3 linked regions of the Lonchura striata genome follow. The protein of the gene in region 1 purifies or fractionates together with the protein of each later gene. This does not show direct contact. Links are inferred from orthologs where the notes say so. Each region holds a gene or a part of one and is shown on either strand. Other genes may lie near its edges.

Region 1 (8,028 bases):
CACTAAGTATAAATTTTATTTAAGGAGCTAATTACCTTTGTAAAGATTTTCTTTTAAGAAGGTTGGGGTTTGCTTTTCTGGGCTTTTGTTGATGTTTTCACATATGTATTATTGAACAGACCAACTTTTTCAAATCTTGAAGGACATAGACCACTCCTCTGTTGTGCTCCTCATCACTGTGGGTGTGATACTGCATCCAGTTGTTGCACTTGAATATTCTGTAACTCTGACACCTTGATAGATTCACTGCTACTATCTTGCCTCACATTTACTGATGTTACAATATGTATTTCCTATTAAATCCATTATGTTTTCTGGGCAATTTGTTCTTTGTTTCCTTATGGGATTTAGACAGCAATAGGTGGTGAGTGTCTCTTTTGCCACAAAGTTCTAGAAGTATCTGTCACAGCAGCAAATATTTGTAAGCAAAAGGGTAATTCATTAGCACAGTCTTATGAAACTGTTACAGCAGCTGAGACCTGTGCCATGACTGTATTTTACCACATAATGAAGGCTAAAAGCAAATTCCCCTGGAGGAGCAAGTTATTGTAAGGCTCTTCTGTATTTTAGCTTTATTTCTTGTACTTCCTCTTTCTGAAATTGTGTATCCAACACTTACACCGTGATGGGGAGTTGATTTAAGGCACAGAAATTGATTGATTTCTGTAGCTAAGATACTTAAGATTTCCTGGCAATCTTCCCACTTGTAGCCCTCCACACTGAGGACAATGAAGAAAAAAAGGGGTTTTTCTGAATTAGAAACTGCATTTGTTTGCCCAAAAACAACCTGATATGCATAGAGCTCTTGCAGTGTCATAAATGTTTGCCTGTGGAATGTGTTAAGGCTAACCTTTGTATCAGCAGTTCTTGTCACTCATAACAACATTCTGCCTTTTCATTCTAGGATGGGTTAACCTGTTACAAGGGTTGAAAGGTCTGTGCCTTCTTACGATATTATCTCTAACTAAAACAAACTTAAGCCGCTCAAAGTTACAGAGCATTTGCAGCACTGTAAACTGCACAAATTTCCACCCATTGCTTCACTGCATGAAGTGTAGTCAGATTACTCGTGATGAAATATTGTAGTGATGAATTCCCAAGCATATGAATGTTTTGAGACTTTTTTTTAGTCTTCTCTTGGGCTGGTCCTGAGAGCGTGTACAGGTTTGTCTGTATTGTTGGTTTGTAGATGCTAATGAGGAAAACCAGGCTTTTGTTCTCTCCTTTTTGTTTGAGTCCTTACACTCCCATATAGTGCATAGAATGCAAATAAAGAAATGTTGATTTGATATAATGTAAACAGCCTTTTCAGCCTAAGCATTCATAATAAATTTTTATAGTGTAATAACATGCTAAATCACTACCAGTCTGATGTATTGTGCAAAAAAGAAAAAAGGTGTAAACATTTTATTAATAAAAAGCTTTGTTTATAAATATGCTGGCTTATTTATAAATGCTTCAAAATTCTCCCCATCTTAAAAAATGGTCTCTATAGCAATATAATTATTGAAGAGGAATGTAAGCAATAGCTTACATGTACAAATGACTGGAATAGCTGTTTTCCAAAAGTCCTGACTACTGGTGTTCAGAAACTGGAGCTTTTCCCTGGTTTATGTACACACAGACAAAGGCAGAAGATCCTGTGCAAAGAAGGGATGGGGGGAAACAGCAGAGAGAATGCAGCTTTTGTGTAACACTTCCTTTCTTTGCAGCACCGTGCCTGAGAAACTGCAGGCCACACACAGGCTTGTCAAGCAGGTCAAGGCCTGACAAATTCTATCAGGGCCAAGTTACTTAATACATTGCTTTTACCTTAGACTGCATGAACTGCACAGTTCTCAACTGCTTTGGCCAGGTTTCTGTCAATCAAAACTGTAAAGTGCTTTTAATATCTGCATAGTGTCGTGGGTCTGTTGTGCTGGGAAGGGATCTTCTGTTGTTTGTTAATACAGCCAGCTGGTTGGTAGATTGCTTTTTTTATACCACTGCTCTGTTGCTTATGTAGTCCTCAGAAATATGGATTTGGCTGCAGTTAGCTCACTTGTCTTACATGATATCTAAAAGATGTGGTTTGCACATCTAATCTGTTGAGTTAATAACAGCCTTCAAAATCTAAATAAACAAAAAGTCCTGTTTCACATAAAAAGTTTGGGTACAAGTTTTTACTTAGCAAATGGCTGCAGTTCCTATGCAGGAAACCCATACCATGTCATCTTTTGTTTGATAGAGACCTGGAATAATTTAAATTTCTTGTTACCTGCAATTTTGAAGTTATGCTCTTAGATGTGAACAAACTGCTTTTGAATAGTGTCAGAGGGGTTTTTCTAAGATGGCATGAATGTGCATCAGGGAGAGCAAAGGAAGGTAGCCACAAGGAATATGCTGGAACAGAGAGAAGAAGACATTTGTATATGTTTGCATAGGGAGTCTGGGAACTAAATGCAAACCACCACCATTGTGTGGTTTGCATACACACAATGAGAATGTTTCACTTGGAGCGAGTCTTTCATAGCTTCTAAGGCAGAAATTTTGCAAGTGATGAACTTGTTCTTTAAAATTGTTTCAGTACAAAGCTTTCAAGTGCTGTCCAGCATTTCCCTGCAGTGTTCATCCCAATTTTCTCTTGTTAATCAAAAATCCATGTGGGTAAGAAGTTGCCTTGTAGTCTTGTGGCTGAATTGTTTCCAGGGAGAGCTGTCTGTGGAACAGGGATGGGGTATTGCAGGTCAGTGAATCTGACCTGAACAACATTAAATGTACACTCATTTTTTACATGCAACAAAAACCTGACAACTTACGTTCACTAGACTTCATAAATTTTCAACTTAAACAGTGCTGTGCTTTATAAAACCTTCAGCCTGGATGAAAACGTGGGCGAGTCCTTCAAATACAAACAGGTAAGTTCAGAGCTGCCAATTAGGGCAAGGTGATACATCTTGGCAAATCCTTTAAGAGGTTGATCATAACGCTTCAGGGGCTTCTTTGTACTTCTTTCAGGAAAAGTAGAACTCGGGAAAGGTCTGGGCAGCAACACTTAATAGTTGTTTACTTAAGGGTTTTTATTATGCATGACTATATGTTGTGTAAAGCTTTCTCTCTTAGTCCTCGCCGTTAGGTCACAATTAACTTACTGATCTATATAAAGCTTGTCTTTTCTACTAATTACTGGTCCAAGAATGCCTGGCTTACAAATAGAAGGTGTTTATAAAATAAGAGATTAGGTAAAGGAAAGTAACCTTCCCACAGTACCAGCCAAGAAGGCTGCAAAGTATGAGTGAACTCAATCCTCTCCTGACTTGAGATCTAAAATGTTATGACATAACCTGCAGTTTAGGCTAAAAATTACCCTCCCCTCCCCCCCACCAAGGAGCAAAAATAGTAAGACCATCCAAATCTAGTTTCCTGGAAAAGAAAATGCACCCCTTTATGATTTTATGTGACCATTCTTTCCCAAAAAAAGGAATTTAAGGAACAAGAGCACTATTTGAGTGTTTTGTCCTGCAGTGCTGAAGCTTTAAAAAAATCAGTCCTGTTGTCCTGGCTGGAAGGAGTTGGCAGATTTCACTTGTATCATGCAAAACTAAGGGTTTTGTACTAAATACAGGTATGGGTTTGGTTTGTTTTGGCATGGAATGAAAGACAACTGAGAACAAAAAATATGAAATTGGATGGGAGGTGGTAAAGCACATGAGCAGGAAAACAGAGATTGTGGTGGACAGGTGTGGTGTATAAACACTGCAGATGTGCTCAGAGCAGTGAATGCCACTGTCCTGCTTAGGGGTGTTAATTGTAACATACACATCACTCATTTGACATTGCTTTTACTGCCAGAAAGGAGAACAATGCTCTTGCTGTAATTCTAGATCTTTTCAACTACCTTATGCAGTTTTGGCATTTATTAAGTCAAATAACGTGATAAAAAGAATTTGCGTGAGGGAAAGGTGCACTGCATTATGTACATTATACTGGTATGAAAAACGAATTTTCTTTGGAAGCTTTTTATTTCTGCAAATGGCATCTCCTCCTGAAGTAATGTATGTATAAAGTTCAGTATGTATAAAGTCCAATGAACACTTTTTACTGTACATAAACTCCAGTTTTTAAGACCAGCATATTTCTGCTGCTAACAAGGGCATCCCAAACTCCTGCCTCTGACAGGTTACAGCAGTGCTTTATAAATTCTTAGGAATTTGTCAAATGTTTAAAACAATCTGAGGAGAGGAGCAAAAAGCTTAGTGTTGCTGTAATTACACTGGCCTAGGGCCATCAATAGAGCTGCACTATATGTTAAACCATGCTGTAAATTTCAAAAAACTGTTTTAAAACATTGGGGTAAAAACTAACCAACCAAAACTAAACACAAAAAAAAAAAAAAAATTCCCAAAACACATCCACCACAAACCACCCCAAAACAAACATAAAAACCCCAACGAGCAACCCAAAACTTTAAGAAAGGGGAGGGGGGATGTCTTAAAATCTGAGGTGACCTGAAGTTCTGGGTTTATTCATTAAAAAGCGAGTATTGCCTGCGGCTCGATGCCGGTTCCCAGGGCTGCCCTGGCGCTGTAAGGCTGCGCCCCGATCCTTGCGGGCCCGGGAGCTCCTCCTTTCCCGGGAGCGCTTCCCGGGAATCCCGGCGGCGCTGGCAGCGGGCAGGGGCCCGAGGGCTTCCCCTGAGGCCACACGGCGTCAGGCCTACAGTAACACGCTGCTTCACAAGGCTTTTATTGCAAACCACGCTTTCCAGTGACCATTAAACTTTGCTGATGAGCCCTCTTTGTTCCCGAAACGCTCCGGGCTGGCACCCCCGGCCCCAGGAGCGCCCGAGGAGCGGCGGCGCGGAGCCTCCCCCCGCGGCCCCTCACGGCGGGGCCGGGCTCACGTCAGCCGCCGCCGCAGCCTCTCCGCGGGCCCCTCCGTGCTGCATCATCCCGCCTCCCGCCCGCCCTGCCCGGCAGCGTGTGCGCCGCCAGCCGCCGCCCGACCTCCGCCCGCGCCTGTCCCCGCTCCGGGACCGCCGGGGCAGCGCGAACAGCCACCCGGGCCAGGGTGAAACAGCACCGGAGCGACGAGCGAGCGAGCAGCCGGCAGAGGGTGAACCAGCACCCGGGCGAGGAGTGAACCCGCCAGCGGGCGCGCCCCCCGCTCGCCTTCCCTCCTCCCTCCCTTCCTCCTTCTCTCCCCTCTTCCTTCCCCTCCCTCCCCGTCCCTTCCTCTCTCCGCCTGGTGCCGCCACCGCCGAGGAGGAGGAGGAGGAGGAACATGGCGAAAGCGGAGCAGGTCCTCAGCCTCGAACCGCAGCACGAGCTCAAATTCAAAGGTACGAGGCGGCCGCCGCCGTCCCTCGCCGCCGCTCCCGCGCCGGGCGGGCGGCGCGGCCGCGCTCGGGGCCCGCTCCCCGGCAGCCATTTTCCGGGGGCCGGGCACCGCCGGCAGCTAAAATGTCCTTCAGCGCCGCGCCCGCCGCCCGCCCGCGGGGGACCCCCGCGCCGCCCTCAGCGCTGCCGCAGCCGCGGCGCGGGGGGCCCGGCCGCCGCCTTCCCCGGGCGGCAGCGACAACACCGCGTGTGCCCGCCTGACCTTCCCGGGGGCGGCGGCCGGCAGCGGGGGACCCGCGGGACAGCGCCCGCCGCTGGGCTGCGCGCCCCAGGCCCCGCCGCGCGTCTGTGCGCGGCCCCGGCCCAGAGATCGGCGCTGTAATGTAGGACGGCGATGTCCGTGAGGCAGGACTGGGAACCCAGGTGCCACAAACCCTAGGAATTGATAAAGGGTTTCATCGAAAGACAAAATCGGGGAATTGCTAGCAGTGGAGCTGTTTAAATGTTCTGCGTGGCTCTTCGGTATAAAATCTAGACGGAGGCAGGATGTTGGGAATAAGATAACGAATAAGGGTTTTTTCTGAAATGTGTCCCAGGCGCTGTGGGGTTGTGATCATGTCTCTGGCCAAAAACGCGAGGCCTCTGGCCAGGTGCTGGGCGGCACTTCCTGGCTTTTCCTGCTTATTATTAGTATTATTATTATGATGATTTAGCAAGCTCTTTGGCTAAGTAAGTCACGAATAGTCTGCCTGTGCAAAAATCCATCTTTTAATTTATTTTAAAAAGTCTTGAATGGGTTTGGGCTTCCACTGGCATGGAAATTCCTGCCTTGCAGCCTGACAGCACAGCTGTAATACAATATTCTGGGATTACAAATAAGCAATCAGCAAGTTTATTTATGTGACCAGAGTCAGAGGTGTTTTATAGCTTTGATAATTATCTGGCAAATAAGCTTTTTTTAAAAAATAGGGATTTGTTTATTGGCCTCTGGCAAAAAATAATACTTCTTTAAAAAAAGCTTTCATGTACATTTTTAAATATAGAGGTAGTCTTTACCAGTTTTTATTAATAAATATATTTGAACTATTAATATGAAGTGAGTTTTATCTAACAGCCTGTTAATAAACACTGGGAGGAATGAATATATCTTTGTTGTAAGCTGAAGTTGTTATGGCAGCAGTATCAAGCATGCTTAAGAAGAAAACTATTGTTGTTTTGACGTTCTTTGTGTTAAGTATGATTAGATTAAAATCACCTCTTGTTCTGGACAAAATTGCTTTCAGTAAACAAGCAAACCCAAATCCAAGGTGGGCAAAAAGTGGGGCCTTAATTGGTGCTGACTTGCTAATGAGATGTAATTGTGGTTCAGGGTTTGTTTTTCTTTCTTTTCTTCATCACAGGTAGATAGAAACCTTGCCAGACTGTTTTTTCTTGAAGTAATGATAATTTGTCAGGCTGTCTTTCTTTCAGATGAGGTTCTGGGCTAAATAACTAGTGGCCATTGAAGTTAAATCAACTAACCATAGCGCTTTTGGTTGCCAGATCTTTAGCTAGTAACACATACTTCTTATAACATAAAATGCTGCTTGACTAACTGCAGCTATTAAATGGCTTAGTTTCAAAGTACACTTAAATATTAATGTTCAAACAGACTTAATGCTGTGGGCAGCATTCATATGCTTTGGCAATACCTCTGCCTTACAGTCCTTTCTAGCAAGCAGTGCTGACCGCTGTCCTTCATTCAGGAAACTCCAGGCTGAAGTATTCATGAAGTAAATTCTGCTCTAAGCATTTCTTGCCCTGCTGATCTTGTGATGACATACTGCCTGGTGACAGGGCTGAAATGATATTGTTACCTTTGTAAATAGTTGCATTTATTTCCAGAGTGTTCCTTGGCCCTGTATAAGTACATCCAGGCTGACAGAGGTCATGGAGCTGCTGACTGGTACAAGCATCCTCATGATGTGTGCTGAAAGACATGGTGTTCAGTGTAAGAAACTGAGATTGGGCTGTAAACCAAATACCTGAAATGGTAAAGGGCTGAATCCAAATGCAGGCAGGTAAAAAAAGCAGAAAATTGTTCGCTCTGAGGCTGTTGAAAAGCTCTGTGTAGCTCTTTAGTATAAAATTTAGAGAGAGGTAGGATGTCGAGAATAATACCATGAATGAGGATGTCTTCTATAATGTGTGCCAGTCACTTTGGGGTTGTAACCATGGCCTGCACTTTTAGTTTGTAAGGGTTGAAGTCTATTTTAAAGAAGCTTTTGTAGCCCCTTGGTTTTGCAGTGAATCTCATAAATTCATTTGGTGCTGTGTTTCAAAATACTTGTGCTTGTGTCTCGTTTGAAAAAAATATCAAAGGAGTTTTTCATGCTGGAATTTTTTTTTCACAGCATGTGAACATGAGCAGGGGTTGTCTTTCCTCCCGCCTCGCATCTCCTACAGCAGAGCACACATGCTCCAAAATAGCATCAGCGTGTGCTGTGCTGAAATGCAGCTGTGAGCCGTGGGAGGCAGGACACCATTAGGTGGCTGAAGGTGCCCACTTCTTGTCCTGGTCTCTGATACCATGTGAAATTGGAGCTTCACTGGCTTGCCAGTGACTTCCTCCACTTCTTGGTCATTGTAGGCTTGCAAAAAAATTATCCAGCTAAAGGTTTACAGCTCAGCGTTTACTGGTATCAAATGGTAAAAAAGAATGTTGGTGGTG
Region 2 (8,030 bases), on another chromosome or scaffold:
CCCCAATCAAAGCCCTTTCCTCAGGGCTGGACCGAGATGATCTCTGAGGAACCTTCCAGCCCAAACCGTGATCCCAGGATGTGGCATCTCCTCCCTGGTGGGTGTGGGGGCAGCTGGGACCTCCTGACAACTACTCAGGAGCCAACCCACGCTGAGGAAAACCTCACACAGCTTTTTTCCTTCTGCCCAGCACATTTCCTTGGCTCTGTCCCTACGACCCGCAGCGTCCTGCTCGCACTGAGGGACCTGCCCGGGATCCACCGCAGCCCCGGGCGGGCAAAGCCCTTCGCAAACATTCATTATCCATCCTGGGGAAAGCCGTCCTGCCTTGTCACACCCTTGTCACCGGCAGCCAAGCCAGGGAGGAGCTAAGCAGGCCCTGAGCCAAGCGCCCCTCTTCCCAAGGGGCACAACACGGGACCCCCATTCCCCGGGATCGCTGCCCATCCCCTTTCTGGAAGGGGATGTGGAAGATGCCAAGAAAAAGCCGCTGCTGCAGCCGCTGCTCCAGCCGAGCCTCGGCACAGCCCTGACCCAGATTGGCTCCTTGTTGTTGTCTCCCCGGCCGGTGGCACCGAGCCGGGCATTCCCCGGCGCTGAGTGCGCCGCCCGGGGCACCCCCGGGCACCCCGGGATGTGCGGGCAGCGCTGCCCTCCGCACTGCCCAGCGCTGCCCTCCGCACTGCCCAGCGCTGCCCTCCGCACCCATCCCAGCTCCAGCGCTGCCCTCCGCACCTCCACATCATTTGTGGGACCCCCAAACACAGACCTTCCCACACCATCTATGGGGTTCCCCCAAACACAGACCCTCCCACACCATCCGTGGGACCCCCAAACACAGACCTTCCCACACCATCTATGGGGTTCCCCCAAACATAGACCCCCCCACATCATCTCTGGGACCCCCAAACACAGACCCCCCCACATCATCTCTGGGACCCCCAAACACAGACCCTTCCACACCATCTGTGGGACCCCCAAACACAGACCTTCCCACACCATCTATGGGGTTCCCCCAAACACAGACCCCCCCACATCATCTGTGGGGTCCCCCCAAACACAGGTCCCCCCCAATCTCCAAGCCCTGGCAGCAGCTCTGGGGTGCAGCAAAGCCCAGTGGGGATGGAGTCACCCCTGGCACCCACCTACCCCTGCCATCAGCTCGACCACCAGCCTGGGGCAGGCGATGCTGGAGCAGCCCAGGGTGGCCCCGCACACACGGGTGCACTCCTCGGGGTCCACACAGCCCACGGAGTCTGGGGGACAGAGGCAGGTGACAAGCTGAGACCCCTGACAGGGTGGGGGCCAGCCCTGCACCCCTTCCCCCCTCATGCCCCCTCCCACTGGGCAGATGTTGAGCCTTTGCCGTGGCCACCGTGGCCAGACCTTGGCAGGACAGCGGCTGGAGGAGCAAGGAGCACATCCCACCCGAGAGCTGAAAATCCTCCTCTGCTCCTCACTCCCACCCGCAGCTCCAACACCTCAGGGCCCGTCCCACCCCTCGCCTCCCGCTGCCCAGCCCAGTGCAGGTTGGATTTTTCCCACATTAAACCCAGTGACAGCTGCCAGGGGGAATCTCCAGAGCCAGAGGCAGCAGAGCCCCGGGGCCAGCCCGGTTCCTGCACCCCTGTGGCAATTTCCTGGGCATGGGCAGCACCAGCAGCTCCTGGGATTTGCGTGGCAGCGCTCCAGGACCATCAACACCCAATTATTTCTATGTCTCAACGAGTGATGAACCCTTTTTTTTTTTTTTTTTTTTAATTGTTACGCTCATAAAATATTGAAATGAATGGAAATTAATGTCAGGCATTAATATGGATGGGCTGCCCGGCTCTCCGGGCTGCACCCGCCCAGGCAGGAGCACGGGGACGAGCACGGGTGATCCCTGCACAGGACTGGCAGCACTGTCCTGGTTCTCCTGCCCGGTGACCTCCACCAACGAGCCCTCAGCCTCCCAGTTTGTCCCAAACACTGGTGGTGACACCTTGGCACCTTCCACAAAGGAGCACGGGGTGAGCTGCGAGCACGACTCGGTTGTGGGCAGACCACAGGCCGTGCTCAGCACATCCCAAGGATGCCAAAAAGCCCAGCCTGGACTCAACCCTGAGGTCAGAGTCAGCGCTGAGGCTCCAGTGACTCCTTCCTGCAGCAGCCCTGAGCAAAGCTGCCATCAGCGCTCTGTGCCTCAGTTTCCCCTCTCTAAAACACCACGTTGTGCACGGCTCCATGCAAATCGTTGGTGGCTGGAGGGTGGAAAACGTCCCAAAGGGCAAGGCAGCGTCTGGATGTTGTGTTCCAGCTGAAATGCCTGCCCCAGGCCTCAGCTCTACCGAGGAACACTCGGTGGCACCTCGGCGTGAGTGGGAAGCAGGATCCTCCGAGCCAGGAGCAGCGCTCGGTGTCATACCCCACTGCCTCACTCTCAGGCCCGCTGCTAAAAATGGAAAATTAGTTAGGACCTTGTAATTAATGCTTCCATCTGCAGGAAAGGGGCCGTGTCTGCAGCGGGTGCTGCCTGTCCAGCTGGATCCACCCGGGGACGCCTGGAACGATGAGGACCAACCTGCTCAGCCACAGCCAGCCAAGCCTGCAAACAGGGGCTGCACCCAATTCGGGGCCTAAATTCACCACGTGGGGTGAAGAAACGCCCGGGATGGGGAGATGGGGGACCCAGGTGAGCATCAGGTGGAGATGCTGCAGGTGTGGGGTTCTGCCACCCCAACCCGCCCCCGCCAGCAGAGCCAGCACATGGCGGCTGGGATGCAGCATTTACCCCACATGCAATAAATCATTAGTGCACACACACCCCGTGAAAGAGTCTGTAAATCTCCTGGCACAATAAAAACACCTGGAGCGAGCAGCTCAGGCGGCCAAAACCACAACACGCTCCTGCCACGCCACACACCCACACTCCAGCACCCATCTGGGCCATCTCCCATCACACCCAAAGAGGTCCTGGGTGCTGGCTCAGTGCTCACCTCTGTCCATTTGCTGTCCCCATCGCTGCCAGCAGCGCTGGGATTTCACCTAAAACACCCAGGTTTGGTTCCAGCCCCCTCAGTCTCTGCTGCAGCAGTCAGTGAGCAGGCCACAGCATGGGGATGTCATCCCACCCCTGGGAAATCCCTGCAGGGTCAGCCACAAAGTCACCAGCTCCACCTGAAACACCTCCTGAGCTGATATTCTTCGGGAGCCAAGCACTTGGATCTTCCCCAAGTTGATGTGGCACTTGGGGACGTGGTGTAGTGCTGGAGCTGGCAGCGCTGGGTTGGACTCGGTGACCCTTTCCACCCTTAGTAATTCCATGATCCCAACAAACTGCTGCCACATTCCTGTGTCCCCCAGCCCTGCTGCACCTCCTGCACAGGCCAGGCCAGGGCTGGGCACAAGCCCACGCAGGATTTGTCACTGTGGGACGAGCAGGGCCACTGTGCCTGCAGAGAGGAGCACTTTGATGGCCCAGCGCCTGGCCAGACAGGCGGCTTTGCCCCAGGAGCCTGACTCAGGCAGGGCCCTCATTTATCCGGCTGTGAATCCAGATGAGCCACGCCAACGCCAGGGACAGACACACAGCCCATGGCACTTCCCTTTTTTTGCATTGGCGCAAGAATCTGACCCCAATTCCTGAAATTCGTCTTCAGCTGAGCTTCCAAGAGAAAAGCTCAAGAGAGCTTGCACAGTTCTGGCTTGTGAGCACCAAGTGGTGAATCCAGGGTGGGGTTTTTTGTCCATCTCACTGTTACTAATGAGACCTGTCACAGCCAGATCTGGTGATGTGGCCGTGACCACGCTGTAGAAAAAGGGAGAGGACAAGACAGGACATGACAGGACAGAATAGAATAAATGGTTTCATTTGGAAGAGCCCTACAACAATCATCTGGTCCCACTGCCTGACCAATTGAGGGCTGACCAAAAAAATTAAGGGCATTGTCCAAATGCCTCTTAAACACTGACAGGTTTGAGGCCTTGACCACCTCTCTAAGAAGGTTGTTCCAGGATTGGAACACCCTCTACGTAAAGAAATGCTTCCAAATATCCAGTCTAAACCTGCCTCAGCGCAGCTTTGAACCTTTCTGGCAGCTCCCACTCGGTGCTGCCCACCCTGGACCCACCCTGGCTCCGAGCTCCTGCACCAGCACAGGAGGGGTTAACCACAGGACAGAGCTCTTTGGCTGGGAAATATTGACTTACCAGCCGGCACAGCGGGAGAGGGGGGAATCTCAGAGGGAGATTTAAAAAACAAATAAATAACGAAACGCCCAAACCCTCTGGAGCCGCCCAGGACCCTCCCACACCCGGGCGCTCCGGGGGGCTCCGGGCGCCGCAGGTGCGAGGGCGCACCAGCCGAAAGAGTTAATCGGGCTGGGCAGGGAACGTGTGAAGGCAGCATGTGACTGCAGGTGGGGCAGGGCGGAGGGATGAATCACTCTTTTCCTTTTCCTCTTTTCACTTCTCGCTGTTACCTGTCCGGCCCGGCACTGCGCGCCGGCAGAGCCCCGAGCCGAGCGCTGCCGGGGCGATGCGCAGGAGGCCGGGGCTCGGCGCCGAGCATCCCCCGCTCCTCCGGGAACGAGAACCGGCCACGGCACCTCGGCCGACACGTCCTGCTCCTCGCTGCCCTGCCTTTAGCCGCTTTTCCCTTTGTTTCTTCCCCAGTTTTTTTTATTTCATCCGGTGTTAGCGTTGTCTTGCGAGAGCGGAGGATGAGGAGGGAGCGGACGCGGGGGTGAAGGACCTTCCCGGTGCTGTAGGTACACCTGAGCTGTCTGCCCCAGCCTGCTGGGGGAAGCTCCGCGTTTTCCTTGCCAGAAAGCAAACCCTCCTCCCCGGCAGGAAGAGCTCCGGCGTGGCAGGAGCCGTTGGAAAAGGGAGCGGTGCCTCCGCCGAGCTGCGCGCTGAGCCGGGGAGGGTGAAGCGAACTGTGTGTTTAAGGACTGGAGAATAATTAATTCCTATTTATTGCCGACAACGCGGCGCTCGCCGGCGGCACAGAGCTCCCTCGGGACAGGGGACCGGCGTGCGGGGTCACCATGGCTTTCTCCCAGGTGCAGTGCCTGGACGACAGCCACGTCAACTGGAGGTCCAGCGAGTCCAAGCCCGAGTTCTTCTACAGCGAGGAGCAGCGCCTGGCCCTGGAGGCGCTGGCCTCCCGTGGCCCCGACGCCTTCTATGAAGTCCTGAAGAGGGAGAACATCAGGGACTTCCTTTCCGAGCTGGAGCTGAAGAAGATCCTGGACACGCTGGAGACCTACGACCCCGGCTCCGAGTACATCCCGCGGCACGGCAGCAGCGGCGGCGGCAGCGAGGGCGACAGGAACAGCCAGGGGGACGAGCAGGACGTGGCCCCGTCCCTGGAGTACTGGCCCCAGCGGTCCGACCGCTCCATCCCGCAGCTGGACCTGGGCTGGCCCGAGACCATCGCCTACCGCGGGGTCACCAGGGCCACGGTCTACATGCAGCCACCCATCGAGGGCCAGGCGCACATCAAGGAGGTGGTGAGGAAGATGATCTGCCAGGCTCAGAAGGTGAGGTGCGCCGCGGGGACGGGGCAGGATTGGCCCCAGGGCATCGTGCTCCAAGTCCTGCCCAGCCGGGCAATCCCTGTCCCGCGGGAAGCTCTGCCCGAGCAGAGGCAGCGGGGCCAAGCCGGCAGGTTTTGCCCTGTAACCAAGTGCTCGGGGGTCGGGTTTTGCTGGGGATGCTGCCAGCCGGGGTCAGCACTCCTGGCAGCAGCACAGCCCTGCCCAATATCCACCCAGCAGCTCTGTTCATCTTGGGGTCCCTGCAGGGCTCTGGGGAGAAAAACGGGTTGAGCTGTTCTCCAGCTGGTTCCAGCCACTCCACACTCGTTATTCCCGGTGTGACAGCATGCAGGAACCTGGGATTGTGTCCTGGTCTCAGCCCTGGGTCCACCAGCTGTCCAGTATTGACCCTGGGGTCATGGCCCGGCCTCAGTCCTCGTGTCCACCATCCGTCCAGTCCATGGCCCTGGAGCAAAGTACTCAAAGCTTCTGGCCTAGCACTGACCCACACGAGGGTCAAGCTTGGCCCAAGATGGCTGTGGGGCTCCAAGCTGGCTCACCCTGGCTCTCAGAGGACAAGGATGAGCTGGTGAGCAGGAGGGACAAGGCTGGGCAGATGCTGAAGGGATTTGGGTTGAGACTTGTCCTCCCTGTGGCACCAAGCCGAGGAGCAGGGAGTGGGGATGCATGAGCCATCACCCAGGGAAGGAGGGAGATGGTGGCCTGTGCTGAAGGCCAGCAGAGGTGGGAAAGTGCTGCTGGTGTTTCCCAGTGACCCAGTCCCAGGAGGGGTTGGTACCTGCTGGTTTCTTGGTGCTTTGAAGCTCCTTGGGTTCTGTGAATCCAGTACCGTGAGAGCTCCAAGGAAGGAGCTTCCCACCCCAGAGGCTGTTCCAGCAGGGAAACAGGGAGAGCCTGGAGCAGAGGGGACAGGCTGGGATGCACCAGGTCTGCCTGGCTGCTCCAGAGATAGTGCTGGGCTTTGCAGATCCTGCTAGGAGAGAGGGAAACCTGTGACATGCAGCCAGCAGAGCTTCTCCAGACCAGCTCAGGCAGAAAAATGAATCTCTCAAAACATCCAAGGCAGCGGGATCACGGGAATGGCTGTTGGGGGTGTCAGGGCTGGGGGCAGGAGCCACCTCTGGCCACTGTCACCTGGCAGAAGTGGAGGTGACTTGTGCTCACCTGTGACATTTTCCCCGCCAAAGGGGCAAAGGGAAGGGAGAGCTGTGGGCTGGAGGATGGGAGAACAATCCCACAACAAACAATGGCTCATCTTCGGGTCTTTGCCTACTCACCGCTTCCCAGCTGCCCCCATGCGGGCAGCTCCTCCTGAGTCATCCCACACCCTGCTCCTGCTCCCAGGGCTGAGTCAGGCACATCCCCACCTCCCCTGGAGCCTCTCCAGGACACGGGGACGTGGCCACGGTTGATGCTGCTGTGCTCATCCCCGGTTCTCCATGGCCCCTGAGCAGGGCTGGGCTCTGCCTCCCGCCCCAGACGGGCCCTGCCTGTGGGATGAGACATGGTGACACCACTGGGGACACGCAGGAGCCTGCTCGGAGCTTCTGGTGCCTCAGGAAACGTAGAGATGGGTGAGTGCTGAGTGCTGCAGGGTCTGGGGTGGCAGGAGTTACAGGAGTGGAGTTCTTCCATGGTCTCCCATCCCGTGTTTCAGCACAGATCTCCTTGCAGCTGAGCCTGCTGTCACACGGCAGAGCCCAGGTGACAACTTGTGGGTGCTCCTAAGGGTGGGGGACACTGGGCTAGACCACCCTGCTGATCTCTGCCAGGGCTCAAGGTCTTCGCAGCAGCTCCAAGGTGAAAGGGTTTGGCTGAGGAAGCTGAGAGTGGACAAAGGCACCGTCCTGCTGCCACCCTCAGATGTCACACACGCTGTCCGTGTGCTCTGTCCTCCCTGCCCCAGGGCTCTCCACCACGTGCAGAGGAGCACAGGCTTGGGAGAAGTTCACAATTCCCTGACCCTTGCTCCAGACGCCGTCCCAGACGCTCGCTCTGCTCTCGGTGCCAGTCGCTGTCCCATGGCCGGGAGAGCAAAGTCCTGCTGCTGGCCCAGGCGAGTTGAGAGCTCAGGAGAGCAGTGCTGGGGCTGGGAGGTCACCCAGGCTCCCAGGGTGAGGAACCCCAGGGATGTGAGGCTGCTCTGAGGGTCACAGGAGCCCTGGTGCTCACAGGAACGAGCCCAAACCCTGCCGAGTTCAGCGCCTCGGACCCAGGCGTGCCAGACAGGGAGATGCAAATGATCCTCTCCTCTTGCTGGGAACGAACAGGAGAAAGGAGAGGCAGGATCCTGTGGCCACATCCCTGAAAATCATCTTTGTGGCCCCCAAGCAGAGCTGCTGAGGGGTTTCACCCGGCCGAGCCGTGGCGCAGCCGTCTCCTCCTCGCTGCAGATCCCCGGGGCTGCCAAGCTCACAGCCTGGACACCAGGAACAATTTCCTCGTGGAAAAGCTGGTCAGGACTGCAAGGGGCTGCCCAGAGAGGTT
Region 3 (6,987 bases), on another chromosome or scaffold:
GGACAGAAGGAAGCCATTAACAGGAACGGCTTGGTTAACTCATGAGCACAGCATTCAGGAGAGGAAAAACACTGTGATGGTGGCTTGACCTTGGCTGGACATGAGGTGCCACCAAGCCTCTCAATCATTTCCCTCCTCAGCAGAACAGGGGAGTTGAAAATAAAATGGAAAAATCTCATAGCTCAAGATAAAGGCAGTTTAATGAAAAAAAAAAAAAAGTTGTGTGTGGAAGCAAAGGAAACCAAAAGATTTTCTTGTCTTCTTCCCATCTGAAATAACATGTGACCACTTTCTGGGAAGCTGGGCCTCAGTATGTGTCCAGGTTACTCCAAAACACAAATGTGCTCTATAATAATGTCCCACTTCCTCCTCTCTCTCAGGTTTTATTGCTGAACAATGTCCTATGGTATGGAATAGCCCTTTGGGCAGCTTGGGTCAGCTGTCCTGGCTGTGTCCCTCCCAAGACCTTGTCCTTTCCTTGGGTCACCTTCTGCTCTCTCAACTTTTAAAGGGTGAGCACTAATAAGATTGGCAAGCAGAGGGTTTATTTTATCTACTAATGATAAAAGTCTATGTTATCACCAGAGTCCTGGGAGCTGGGGCAGTCTGTCTGTCTGCAGGGGCTTCAAGATGAGTAAGTCAGCCTCTGGCTCTTTTAGTAATGACATTAGGGGAGGATATGCACCCAAAAGCTGTATTTACCCTTGGGCATTTTCACCCAGAGCCTGCTCACATCAGAACTGACAAAAGACAGACACCTACAGCCATTTCCAGACCTCCCTGAAAGAGGAGGACAGAGCTTGCAGCCTGTATAGAACAGAGGCATCCAATGTGTGACCACACAGCTTCCACTGGCCAAGGTTTGGGATCAGACCCACTGAGGATAACTGGAAGGTGCATCTGATCAAAGAGAGAGGCCCTTCTTCAAGTGAAGATGAAGAGTGACCTGTTAGGAGTCTGTCTGCAGGTGCTGCATCCCCTCACAGATCTGATGGCTGCAACTGGTGCAGGTGTCAACAGAGGCCATCCTCAGGTGAAGGCTGAATCCCACACAAGCTCTACACCCTTGCAGTGCCCCAGCCTAGAAGCTCGTTCCCCACTCCCAGGGTAGCAGAGCTGTCCACTACTTTCCTACCCCAACTTTTCTGTCTGCTCTGCTTTTCTGGAGGAGTCCTCTGACTGAAGCCTAAAGAAGGAAGAGCAGGTAAAGGAAGCAATGGGTTTGAGCTGTTTTGATTGGGGTTTTGTCATGGGGAGCCTTGTCCAAAATCATTCTTGCAGCACCTATGTTGGGTTGTATTTGACAGATTTCAAACCAGCTCCTGCCCTGAGCCAGCCCAGAGGTGTTGTGCTGACCATGCCCTGTCTCCTTTCCCCCTGGCTGAGCTCTAATTCCAGTTCAAGTGAAGCTCCTGTGTTGGTCAGACAGCTCTGCCAGACAGAGCAGGAGCAAATGCTGTCTGAGTGGAACAGCACATAATGGCCAGTCCATTTCCCTCCCAGTCACTGCAGTTCCAGTAAAACATCACTTTGTTAAATGCCTGGAGCTGGAGAAAGCATCTCCAACTGCTACAGAAAACAGCTTTTTCTAGACAGCTTATTCCCATCCTAGAACATCTGCAGTGCTAAAGAGGGCTACAAACCCAGCCCTCACTGCCCACAGCAGAGCTCAGCTGTCAGAGGTGGCTCTGGGGGAGACGGGGCAGGGCTCACCCACACCAGGGCTCCGTGGGCACCCAAAAAGGCTGAATTCCCCCAGCAGTGACCCCTCATGAGGTGGTATTCAGCCTCAGAGATCTCTTTACCCCTCCTTACACACCTGCTCACTGTCCACAAGTGCCAGTACTTGTTTGGTTTCAAGCAATTACTACTGCAATTAAGCATATGAATATTCATGTACGAGACAGTGGAGTAGGTGTAGCAGGCAGCAGCCACGATTTATAAACGCCTCCTTGCTCTGGAATCACTGCGTGCAGACACTGTTCCCAGGCCTGTCTCCTTCCTACGCCTTGCAGCTAAAAAACACTTATCAGAGACTTACAATAATGCTTCTAAACATAAGATTTCTTTCCAGCATTTCTTCTGCATCCAAGGTCATTTGCATGAGAACAGCATCTTTAGGTTTTCCATCTGCTCCTTATTTTGCACCTGTAGTTAATATCTCCCTTTTTCATAACATATGACTCACTGGCATGGTTACAGGAGGTGATATTTGCTTACAGGAGACCGGTCCTCAACAGAGCCAGAATTACTCCACTGCACAGAAGGTCTGGAACGAGGCAGCTCTGCTCTCTTTGTTTACCAGCCCCCACACAATAGGCAGAGCAAGAAGCCCAGTCCCAGAGCCACCAGCTGGACCTCACCTTCCAGGCAGGATCCCAACCAGTTCTGACCTGCCTCTCTCCTCTCCTGGCCAAACAGGAGCAGTTTTTCAGTCATTATGCCCAAGAAATGAATACACTCAGCACTCCATCTCACCACCTGCTGCACGTCTGATGCTCATGTGTACATTGATTTTTTTCACAGCTCCGGGGGGTGTTACTTCATCCCCAGAAGCTCCTGATTTCAAGTTTGTGAATATCAGAATATTTTGAGGTGGAAGGACCCACATGGATCATCGAAGTACAACTCCTGGCCTTGCACGGAGATAGCCTCAAGAACCCTGCTGTGTGCCTGAGAGCGTTGTTCAAACACTTCTGGAACTCTGCCGGCCCTGGGACTGGGACCATTCCCTGGGGAGCCTGTTCAGTGCCCCACCACCCTCTGGGGGAAGAACCTTTTCCTAATTCCAACTTAAACCCCCCGACTGGGCTCCTGCCATTTCCTCGTGCAGTCCTGATGCCTCAGAGCCCTGTGAGACCCGACCTGCTGGCTCTCAGCGGCTCCTTCCCATCCCTTGAGCATCCCAGTGCTTTCCCAGGGCTTGGGATCTCCTGCCCCTCCCTAGGGGCTGGAGGGCAGACCAGGTGCTGGACACCACCACCCTTCCCAAGGCAGGGACCATCCCACAGGATCCCACAAGGATGGGGCTGGAAGGGCCCTCTGGAGAACATCCCGTCCAAGCCCCCTGCCAGGGCAGGGTCACCCGGAGCAGGCGACACGGGAACGCGTCCAGGTGCGTTCGGAATGCCTCCAGAGTGGGAGACTCCACGTCCTCCCCGGGCAGCTCCAACAGATCTCCGCATCCCTTCCCGACGGCTCCGGGCACGGACAAAGCAGCCGCATGCCAGATCACACCGCTTTGTTTCTTTAAGGTCAGCAAGCGCCAGGCACGGATGTCCCCCCGCGCCGCCCTCCCCATTCCGAGCACCGGGGCTTCCCTTGGACCTTCCCCGAGCATCCCGGGGGCGATGCTCCCGCGGGGACGCAGCTGCGGCTCACACCGACGGACTCGCCCAGCTCGGATCTCCCCCCGCCGCCTCCCCGGGCCCGAGCGAAACCCCCCCGGCCCCACAGGGCCTGGACCCGCGGATCCCCCGCGCCTCCATCCCGCGTCCTCCGGGCGGTGCCGCTGCCGTGGCGACCCGCCCCGCCTCACCTGCATGGCGCGGGAGAAGAAGACCCCCGCGTCCGACGCCAGTTTCTTCACGTTGAACTCCATGGCGGCCCCGAAGCCGCCCCGGCCGCGCCGCGCCCCCGCTGTCACCGCGCCCGCCGCGCCGCCGCCTCTTATAGCGGCGGGTGACACCTGCCCCGCGCCTCTTAAAGGGGCCACGGCTTCTTAGTGGGTCCGCGCGTTCCGGCAGCGCCTCGGCGGGCGGGGCCGCGGGCGGCGGGCGCGGCCCCTTTAAGCGCGGCGGCGGCGGCGGAGGGAGCTGTCAGCGCTCGCCAATAGGAACTCGCGCCGCGCTCCCCACCTCTTCTCTGCGCCACATCCCCGAGCCGGGCGCGTTCCGATTGGCGCGGCGGCGGGCGGCTCTCCGCGCTGATTGGCTGGAATGGGAGCGGGGGCAGGATCTCCGCTTGGCCCCGCCCCCGGCGGGGTGGGCTGCGGCGCGGGGGAAGGAGACGCTGCCCTTCCGCGGCCATGGCGCGCGGCGCGGAGAGACGGCGCCGAGCGGGGCCGCGCGCCCCCCCCGCCGCGGTGAGTGGTGCCGCCCGCGCCCGCTCGCTGCGGCCGGGCCCGCCGGGCCGCACCATCGTTAGTGGGGGGGGAGCGCCGAGCCGCGGACCCCGGCTGAAGCCGGTGATGGGGGTGGGAGGCGCGGCGGGTGCGGGACCTCCAGGTGCGCGGGCGGCGGGGATGCCCGCGGGGTGAATGCATGCGGGGGGCCGGGGGTCGGCAGGGCTGCGAGGCGCCCGAGGGCGCGGGGGGATGCTCAGGGGTGCGGGGGATGCTGCGGGGCTGCGGGAGCGCTTTCTGCAGGGCCCAGGTGCTGCAGTGCAGGTGCGGGGGGTCCCGTGGGACGCTCCCCGCCGGGCCGGGGGGCTGAACCCCACGGCGGGCAGGGCTGGGGGAGATGGCAAACAGAGGGGCTGCCTTGGTACCTCGGTGCCTGTACTCCCTGTCCCGGTATGGTAACCCCAGGCTGCTTTCTGCGCCCAAAATTCCCGGCACTTTGCTCTTCTCGTCCTGCCGTGGCCAGGACGTTGTGTTTAACCTTGTGGGGAGAGCCCATGTGCGGTGTCTGCGGGCTCCCACTGCCCGGAGAACATTCCCTGCGGTGCCGGGGCAGTGGGTGCGGGGAGGCGTCAGGCGGGGCAGGGCTTTGTCACCGCGTTCTGGGGTCACACATCAGTGCCTTCTGTCGCTCCGTCCTTGACCTGAGCACATCCCTCCTGCCCAGCCCCGCTGGCAGCGCTGAAACCTCCTGGGCAAACCCCCTTTGGTTGGTGGCTCTTGAGCAGGGCTGTGATGCACAGAAAACTGTGTGAAAGCAGTTTTGGCAGTGAAAATGTGTGTATGGTTATTTGGGATAATTGGGATTTTTTTTATATGGGGACTGCAAACAAAATCCCTCCAATCATGTGCAGCCAGGTCTGGTACATGTAGAAATCTCTGGGAGCTGTCAAATCCCAGGGTGCTGCTGCTGTAGAGCAGTTTGGGAATCTGTCCCCGTGGTTAGTAGGACAAACAAAGGAATTGCTGCTGGTGGTGAGAAGATATTTTACATTCGCTGCTCCAAGTGACATAAAGTGTGTTTTGTAAAGTGCAGGAAGGAGCAGGGCGGGTGTTCCCCTCACTCACCTGATTTCCCCCCTCTTCCCACAGGAGGAGGATTGTTGGATGAAGGCCAACTCCAGGACTCTGAGCCAGATGTCAGAGAAAAGTTGGATTCTTTTGTGAGCAGCTCACACAGCATCCACAAGTGCCCTTCCCCATTGTGGCTCCTGAAGGTGCCAGGATCCTGCTGCAGACATGGCATTCAGAAGGACAGAGGGGATGTCCATCATGCAGGCCTTGGCCATGACCGTGGCAGAGATCCCCGTGTTTGTTTACACGACCTTTGGGCAGGTACAAGGAGCAGGAAGGGTTTTCCTGTCACATTCCTTGGGCTGACTCTGTGGGGCTGACTGTGTGAGATGGAGGCACAGTGGGGTGGTGCTGGGGTTCCTGGGCAGTTTGAGGGATTGGAGGACTTGCAGGGGGAGTTTGGGGTGGTGGAAGAGAGTTGTTCTGAGTGGGCTTGGAGAGGAGAGAAAAGCACTTCCCACATCCCTCCCTGGGAGAATATCCATGTTCAGTCTTTCTCTTCATCAAAGGCTCTAAAAAAAGACTTGTCTTTCAAAGAACAGTAATATGTTCCCCACTTGTAGTGATGCAGCACTCGGAGCAGTAAAGCTCAACTTCACACCAATGTTTCAGAGCTGAATTTGGGTAACCTGCATTGCATCTGTCCCAGGCTGTGTGCAGATTTTGCAGTATGTTTTGGAAATGAGGATCGAGACCCAAGTTCTCCAGGTCCTGTCAAAATGATGCTCCACAGTCTCTTTGCTGCTACGTCTTAGTTGTGTAGCAGAGGGCGTGTTTTATGGGTGGCAGGGTAAAACCAAGGTGTTTCATGTTTAACACTGTTTTAAAAATTTAAAAAAACCCAAAAAACTGTGGAATTGGTTTTTCATTGTTGCTCTTCCATTTCTTTTGTGTTTACAGTCTGTCTTCTCTCAGCTGCGGCTCTCTCCAGGCCTGCGCAAGGTGCTGTTTGCCACGGCTCTGGGGACGGTGGCCTTGGCTCTTGCAGCTCATCAGCTGAAGCGGCGGCGCCGCCGAAAGAAGCAAATTGCTCCGGACAAGTGTGGCTTTAAACCAGGAGGGATCACAGTGCCCATCCTGCCAACCAGGAGGGTCTCCTCCGTGAAGAAAGGTTGGCCTCGCAAAAAGGGAAAAATCCCCAAGGAGGTTGTACAGGGAGCGATGGGGAGGGGAGAGCAAAGCCATTTTGTGTAGGGCTCTGATGCGGAACGAAGTGGGAATTCTGAAGAGCAGTGCCATGAGCTTGGGGTTTGGAGAGCAATGGGAGAGACTGTGAGCTCACAGTCTTGGGAACAAAAGGTGTGCTGATGTTTTCCCCGGGGTTTGTAGTTCCCATCCCATTTTCTGTAGGCTGCCCCAATAATAATGACCCGGGCATGCAGTGACCTGCGTGCATTGATCTCATGATGTCAGTGCTCAGCTGAGGGAAAGGGAGGGTGGCCTGAGCCAGGCTGAGCAGTTGGGACTGTCCATCCTGCTCTGTGGTGACTCCCAGACCTTGGGCAGCTTCCTCACCACTTGTACTGATTTTAGGGGTAAGACTGATCCAGACCCTCAGCAAAGCACTTGAGGGATTAAGCATTTGTTTGGTGAAACATGAAAATCAAGGGAGCTGTGTCCGTGTTCTGCCTGTCCTGAGGGAAGGTGGAGGAGTTTTTGCTTGATTGTTTCCACTTGCCTCTTGCTGTCCATAAGCAGTGAATACATTCCTCAGCCTCAGATCCCCACTGACACCAGTCTCAGAGCAGACAGGAGTTCTATGGCTTATTTCTAGGTATTGGATACTGCTTTGC

Evidence for each region.
Region 2: the proteins of VAPB (region 1) and FAM83G purify together in Homo sapiens (affinity purification with mass spectrometry; 3 studies listed by BioGRID and IntAct, counting the BioPlex papers as one, with this or other methods). This does not show direct contact. The link is inferred for Lonchura striata from reciprocal best matches to the Homo sapiens genes VAPB and FAM83G.
Region 3: the proteins of VAPB (region 1) and MIGA2 purify together in Homo sapiens (affinity purification with mass spectrometry; 3 studies listed by BioGRID and IntAct, counting the BioPlex papers as one, with this or other methods). This does not show direct contact. The link is inferred for Lonchura striata from reciprocal best matches to the Homo sapiens genes VAPB and MIGA2.

The regions. Positions count from the first base shown.
Region 1 is NC_134619.1:3,419,477-3,427,504, forward strand, and holds the start of VAPB (vesicle-associated membrane protein-associated protein B/C), read left to right. Parts: upstream 1-4,945; 5' UTR 4,946-5,262; coding exon 5,263-5,320; intron 5,321-8,028. UniProt on the Homo sapiens protein: Endoplasmic reticulum (ER)-anchored protein that mediates the formation of contact sites between the ER and endosomes via interaction with FFAT motif-containing proteins such as STARD3 or WDR44.
Region 2 is NC_134618.1:15,831,134-15,839,163, reverse strand, and holds the start of FAM83G (protein FAM83G), read left to right. Parts: upstream 1-5,030; coding exon 5,031-5,525; intron 5,526-8,030. UniProt on the Homo sapiens protein: Substrate for type I BMP receptor kinase involved in regulation of some target genes of the BMP signaling pathway. Also regulates the expression of several non-BMP target genes, suggesting a role in other signaling pathways.
Region 3 is NC_134624.1:199,466-206,452, reverse strand, and holds the start of MIGA2 (mitoguardin 2), read left to right. Parts: upstream 1-3,987; 5' UTR 3,988-4,084; intron 4,085-4,148; exon of another isoform or gene 4,149-4,226; intron 4,227-5,212; 5' UTR 5,213-5,359; coding exon 5,360-5,455; intron 5,456-6,094; coding exon 6,095-6,305; intron 6,306-6,987. Other genes in the region: SH3GLB2 (endophilin-B2), read right to left, coding at 3,539-3,601. UniProt on the Homo sapiens protein: Regulator of mitochondrial fusion: acts by forming homo- and heterodimers at the mitochondrial outer membrane and facilitating the formation of PLD6/MitoPLD dimers. May act by regulating phospholipid metabolism via PLD6/MitoPLD.